Nothobranchius furzeri: one gene and its partner. The protein of the gene in region 1 binds, or shares a complex with, the protein of each later gene. Links are inferred from orthologs where the notes say so. Each region holds a gene or a part of one and is shown on either strand. Other genes may lie near its edges.

Evidence for each region.
Region 2: nup93 (region 1) and nucleoporin p54 share a complex: the UniProt entries of both Homo sapiens proteins name them as parts of the p62 complex. The link is inferred for Nothobranchius furzeri from reciprocal best matches to the Homo sapiens genes NUP93 and NUP54.

Annotation. Positions count from the first base shown.
Region 1 is NC_091744.1:86,665,458-86,669,213, forward strand, and holds the start of nup93 (nuclear pore complex protein Nup93), read left to right. Parts: upstream 1-1,007; 5' UTR 1,008-1,162; intron 1,163-2,219; 5' UTR 2,220-2,223; coding exon 2,224-2,402; intron 2,403-2,576; coding exon 2,577-2,694; intron 2,695-3,756. UniProt on the Homo sapiens protein: Plays a role in the nuclear pore complex (NPC) assembly and/or maintenance. May anchor nucleoporins, but not NUP153 and TPR, to the NPC. During renal development, regulates podocyte migration and proliferation through SMAD4 signaling.
Region 2 is NC_091746.1:59,732,410-59,735,785, forward strand, and holds the end of nucleoporin p54, read left to right. Parts: intron 1-313; coding exon 314-433; intron 434-1,913; coding exon 1,914-2,024; intron 2,025-2,308; coding exon 2,309-2,437; 3' UTR 2,438-2,831; downstream 2,832-3,376. UniProt on the Homo sapiens protein: Component of the nuclear pore complex, a complex required for the trafficking across the nuclear membrane.

The DNA of each region.
Region 1 (3,756 bases):
GTGGTTCACAAGAACTTGAGCTTTAATAAAAAGGATGATTTAGAACAATGCGTGCCAGAAAAGATCACAACGTTGTCGCAAGATGTCAGATAAAAAAGAGCTTTCCATTCTCTGGTGGTGTTTATGTTTTTAAAATAGCATCAATATGTGAAGGCATCAATAACTTACTATATACTAGTATAAATACAAGCTCATTCATTAATTTCTATACCTTTTATTGTTTTTAAAGGAGGACATGTTGAGTTTATATGGACATTTAAAAGAAAAACTTCTGTGGCACGTTCTTTCACTCTTGTTTCAAATAATGTCAGATTTTTCATTTCTAAATAATTTTGTGCCACTTGAATTATTTCACTGACAGAAACGTATGCAGCTCATGGAACAAGAACAAAATAAGTTTGTGTGAAGATTTTTGTTTTATCACAAAACGTCACACAGTTGTGCAGCTATGTCCATGTGCCCATAAACTGTGTTACATAATGAAGTAGCTCTGGGGCTTGTGCCCCAGATGACCAGATCATTGCACAGTTGAGTCTGGAAGCAGGAGTTCAGCACCCATCTGCTCTTTGTGATTCACGCTTCAGTGTTTTTGTTTAGAGCCGACAAAAAAACAAACAGAAAATATCATTCCATTGGCTGCATTGTATTAGGTCATTTAAAATATATATGTTTATTAAAAGTATCAATTAAGACAAGTGGCAGGGATAAATGAAAAATGAAAAGATTTGTTTCATTTATTTCACGTGTACGGTGTTAGGGTTGTGATGTGTCCCAAGTATTTTACTCTCGATGCTTCTAATCATTTTTAATATAAGTTCTATTTAAAGCAATGCAGGGATACAAATATACGTACAAAGAACAAATATGTACACTGTTAAATATGTTATGTTAGTCGGAAAACAAAAAATGACACACATGAAAATAATAGGTATCTTTTGCTTTTGACTAGGATTCCCCAAGTACCCTGAAGGAGGCATGTGACGACAGACGCATGCGCACCGTTATACAGTCTGAATTGACCAATCACCGACGACTTCAGAAATACCGGGGTATACTTTCTGCGGACTACGCTTGCCTGTGAACGAAACTATCTAAAAAGCACATTTATTCACTTACATGAGGCGAACAGGCTGAACTGTAATTTCATCCAACTTTAAAACAGGTATAATAATCGTCTCCATTCAACTGTAGAGAAATTTAACATCAATTTAAATGAAGTCGAAACATGTGCGAGCGTTAGCATCTTAGCCAGCTCGCTAACCGTTTAGCGTCGCCGGTTGATTGTAACTAGGCTATGTTGTAGCATGCTACCACGGTTTTGGAATGTCTGGTACGAGTTTTCACATTTCTTAAGCAGTTTCAATGTCTGAACTTATCTATCGAACGGTATTCTGTTGACGTCCGTAAAGATTGATCTCTCAACTCGTCAAGCACATCATGCGCGCGCTGCAACTGTTCAGCTGTAATCTTTCTCATGTTTACCTTTCAAGCCTTTTCCCCCATGACGCATTTTTACGTTGGTAGATAAATAGTACAGTTTGTTATAACTCCAGGCAGCATAAAGAATTATAGGTTAGACCATCCAATTTTTAAAAGTAGTGTTTTATATCTTCAGTTATGCTGTATCTCAATGTAAACACAGGGTAAACTTGTTTTTATTTAATTAATCAAAAAGCTGCAAGGCAAGGAGGAGCTTTTATCCATGCATCATAAAAGTTATAACGTGACTGTAGAAGTGCACACTTGTCTAAAGTGAACATTGACTTCTTTGGGCTCTGAGCTGACGCATCTAAGATGAATCATAAACTGTAAAACATAGAGTATGTTTTTGGGTTCAGTTGTTTTTTAACTAAGGAGTTTGAAATGATTGTGATTGTAGTTGTTTACTATTTGATTACGGAGCATCATGTTCCCTTCAAGACAGTTGCACTCTGTCATTACTGACAGAGATACTGGCAAGCTATCCTGTCATGTAATCTGTTGTCTTTAATTACCTCTAACACAAAGTCTGTACAGTGTCAAACATTGTAAAATCACAACGTATTTTTGTTTATATTCCACATACTATTTTAAAGTTAAGCAAATTATGAAAATATTATATATTTTTTAGTGGAATATTTTATTGCACAAACCCAGACCCGCAAAACACTTACCATAGAGAACTGTTCAGTGTTTTCATTTCAAGTAAATCACATTTATAAACTTCTCTACCTGTTAAGAGTCATGGATGCAGAAGGGTTTGGAGAGCTTTTGCAGCAGGCAGAACAATTGGCTGCAGAAACAGAAGCTGTGTCTGAACTGCCACATGTGGAAAGGAACCTTCAGGAGATCCAGCAGGCTGGGGAAAGGCTTCGATCCCGCACCTTAACTCGCACCTCTCAAGATGCTGCAGATGTGAAAGCGTAAGCAACCTTTTTGGTTATTAAACCCTTTTCTTCCCCAGGTTATTAATCTCAGGCATGATGTTCAATTGATAGATTACTTTGCCTGCCAGCCTAGCCTGCCATCTAGTGGTGTCAATGTAAAATTACTTCTCTGCCAGTTGAAACCTCTCCAATCTTTTGTTCTTGTAACAGGTCCATCCTCCTTGGTACCAGAGGTTTAGACGTCTTCCACATTTCACAGAGACTGGAAACTCTAAGTGCTGCCACCACCTTTGAGCCCCTGGAACCAGTCAAGGACACTGACATACAGGTATGAATGAAACGAGAAGCCTTGGGTCCTGACACCTGCTAGCAAGTCTCTAATGCTTCAGATGCCTTACTAGTGCAAGCCTCATGTAAGATGAATAAGATAAACTTTTAATGCTCTAATGGTTGCGTGTGCCAAGCCTTTTTAAACATCCCCAACAGGACTTAAGGCTGCCAAATGTTTTCTAACTGATTGCTTATATTATTCCCTTGACATCAGTGGAATATGATTCTGTGCTGTGACACAGTGAGGCTTTCAGGAAGGTTGATGTTATAGGGCTCATAACAAACACTGTAAAACTAGATAATTGTGATTAATTCAGTCTCTTATCAGAGATAAGTGAAAAGAAAAACACTTAAAATTCTGAGCTCAGTGTTGGAAATAATCCCCTTGGATTTTAGCTTGGCAAGCCATCATCTATCTATCTATCTATCTATCTATCTATCTATCTATCCATCTATTCATCTATCTATCTATCTATCTATCTATCTATCTATCTATCTATCTATCTATCTATCTATCTATCTATCTATCTATCTATCTATCTATCTATATCTATCTATCTATCTATCTATCTATCTATCTATCTATCTATCTATCTATCTATCTATCTATCTATCTATCTATCTATCTATCTATCTATCTATCTATCTATTATCTATCTATCTATCTATCTATCTATCTATCTATCTATCTATCTATCTATCTATCTATCTATCTCTATCTATCTATCTATCTATCTATCTATCTATCTATCTATCTATCTATCTATCTATCTATCTATCTATCTATCTATTATCTATCTATCTATCTATCTATCTATCTATCTATCTATCTATCTATCTATCTATCATCTATCATCTATCATCTATCATCTATCTATCTATCTATCTATCTATCTATCTATCTATCTATCTATCTATCTATCTATCTATCTATCTATCTATCTATCTATCTATCTATTATCCATCATCTATTATCTATCTATTATCCATCATCTATTATCTATCTATTATCCATCATCTATTATCTATCTATTATCTATCTATCTATCTATCTATCTAT
Region 2 (3,376 bases), on another chromosome or scaffold:
GCTGACTAAAACTGAGACCTAACCAGAAGTAGTCTGTATTTGGTCTGAAACCAGCCCAGAGGTGTTTCATCTGAGACAAAGATTTATGTAAACGACACAAAGCTGACGTTCTAAGAGCTCAGCTCAGCAGCACTGGTGCAGTTTCTGTCTTTGAAGAGATTAATGTCTGTTGGAAAAATCCATTTCAAATATATGTTCTTTATTTTTTTCATTCCAAGAAAAGCTTCTGGTCAGATGTGAATGACCTGGCATGTCTGCATCTCTTCCTGCTGACACTTCTAATCATTCTGCCATGCCGCTAACTTTCCTGCAGGTGCTGATCAAACAGGAGATTCAGAGAAAAAGCGGTTATGCCATACAAGTGGACGAGGAGCATCTCAGAGTGCAGCTGGACACCATCCAGTCAGAACTCAATGCACCCACACAATTCAAGGCAAGTGTGTCTAAAGCAGAGCAGCGTTTCCTCTCAGTACACGGGTTCAGCCTTTAAAGCAGTAAAGCAGGAAATCAACTTCAAACTAATAGAAAGGCTTTAATGTTGACCTGAAACCATCTACTAGCACATTTACACCTTTCAGTCAGGCAGTACTTTATAAAACACATTTTCATTTTTATAGTCTGTATTCATAAGTAAACAAGATTCACCATATTTACGTTTAATTGTTGGAGTCTTTGTGAATCTAAAAGAACAGAGTGAACTAGAGGCCGGCCGATATATTCAGTTTTCTCTGTATCAGCCGAAATATTTAGGCCCTGTCCACACGTAGCCGGGGATCTGCCAAAACGTAGATATTTTTCTACGTTTCGGCCTGTCATCCACACGAAAACGGAGTTTTTTCACACGAAAACGGATCTTTTTAAAAACTCCGGCCAAAGTGAAGATCTGCGTTTTCTCCGTTTTGGGGGTCTGCGTGTGGACGGACAAAACCGGAGTTTTAAGGTCCGCAACGTCACTCTCCGCGACAAAAAAATGCTGACATCACGTGTTCGACCTGTGTTTACATTAGCCGGCATCATGGAAGCCCTCAGAGCTGCGCTCTGTCACTACCCGATCCATCAATTGTCCAAGCGCTTTCTGCTTGTTTGTTTTTGCAAGCGGAATTACTGCTCCTTGCGGAAGACCACAGACAAAGTACGAGGTTAAGAACGGGGGAAGTACTGCCGTCTACAGGTCTGGCATGTCCTTAACAACGTATTTATCCGGGTACGTGTGGACAGAGTTTGTTTTTAAAACGCAGTGGTGTGGATGCAAGTTTTTGGAGGGGCGGATATTCGTTTTCAAAAAACCCGGCTATGTGTGGACTAGGCCTTATTACAGCCGAAATATTTATTACAAGCCAATTAAAAAAAAAATCAGTCATTCGTGTGGCCAACTGCCTCCATTACTAAATTGAAGAAGGGACCCGAAGGACCCCAACACAGTCGGTTTTTTTTTATGTTTTGAGTTTGTTTTATATTTGAAGTTCAATAAATATTAAAAGATTTACAGACTTATTCATTTATTTTGCACACAGTGAGTGTTTAGTTGTCTTTCGCAATCAATGTGCTGCTGAAACACACATGCACACAAACACACACACAGAAATTGAATACACCTTCCAGTGCTACTTGGACACGTCATCAGTGAAGAACCCGGGGTCATAGGGTGTTTCGGGTCTTTAATCTTCATACACCCTCACCCGGGCGACCCAGCTGCCACACACACACACACACACACACACACATATAATAATCTGCTATAGACATCAGCCATGGGCAACAAAATTTTTAAAAAATCGGTATCGTCCTTTAAAAATAACCATATTGCTCGGCCTCTAGAGTGAACTTTGCAGCTATTAAATATTAAACTAGTTCTGCTTTTAGGACAAGCTCCATTTATTAATGTTGTGTTTGTGTCCTCTGGTCTTTCTCAGGGCCGGTTGAATGAGTTAATGTCTCAGATTCGAATGCAGAACCACTTTGGGGCTGTGAGGTCAGAGGAGCGCTACAGCGTTGATGCTGGTCTTCTCAGAGAAATCAAACAAGTAAGAGTCTACCTTTGCTCTTTAAAATCTGTCCTTTTGCTCCTGAACTTTTACTCAAGTTTCTAAAAACAAAATCCTGAACTTGTGACCTGAAGACTTGATACTTCTTGAAAAACTTCTTATATTGATTTTCTGAGTGAAAAAGAAGGAAAAACACCAATTATTTGCTTAAATTAAATAACAACTCATTGTGATAATTCCACGTGTTCGAGATCTCTAAAAGCACAGCTTTGTGTATCATGGCGGTTTATTTTAAACAGTGTTTGCGTTTCTCACACGTTCAGCACTTGAAGCAGCAGCAAGATGGTTTAAGTCACCTGATCAGCGTCATTAAAGAAGACCTGGAGGACATCAAACTGATAGAGCATGGACTGAGTGATCGTGGCCACACGAGAGGAGGCATCCTGAGCTGAGCCCAGGAGCCTGAATCAGTCTGGAGCGAGGCGTGCTTCTCACCCAGACCAGATATGTCTCGACCACAGCTCCAAAGGTCTAAATGAACAGACTCGGAAAGGATCTGTTTGCTCTCTTCTTGTGTTTTTGGTGGGTTTATTAAATCACACCTTTTTTAATCAATAAAAGAAAGCTTCTCTACATTCAGAAGCCTGATGGAGACTCAGTGGTGTCTAATAAAGCTGGCTACCCTTCAGTCTAATCAGATTATGGATTTGATGCGACTATAAATGTCTGGAGCAAGTAAACAAGGTAGGATTAAATGTGCTCCATGGTCTGAAACTATGTAAATACATGTTTGTCTTTCTTTTTTACACTATTAGAATAATAATAAATTTAGTGTAAAGCTGATAACAGTTGCGCTTCTTTACTTTGATTCAGGCTGAAATTTTAAAATTTCCACCTTTTTACTGGCCATTTTTCTGCCATGTTGGATTTCATGTTTAGACAGTTTGTTTATACGAGTCGTCTGACCTTCTCTGTTTACCTCCTCAGACTTTCACTTACCTGCATCTCATCCGAGCACGGCTGGAGCTAATAGGATTTATGTTGTGGATTTGCTTTCCTTTTGGGGTGAAGGCTTTCACACAGATTATTTCCCATCATGCAACAGTGTCGCCCACATCCAAACGTTCTGAATTAAATGTCAAAGAACAAATGAAAGTAAACATGAAAAATATTTTAAAAAGAACATTTAATAACAAGACGTGAATTTTAAAGTAAAGTATATTCCATAAAGCTTTAAAAGGGTAGAAGACACATGCGTGTCAGTAACTCCTAAAGCTCCGGGTCAATCCAGCCATCAGGTGTGTGAGGAGAGGTCCACCAGACGAAAGGCCTCCATGAACTATGTCTGAGCCAGATCAGTGATGGCCTCATCACTGATCTCCATCTTCAGA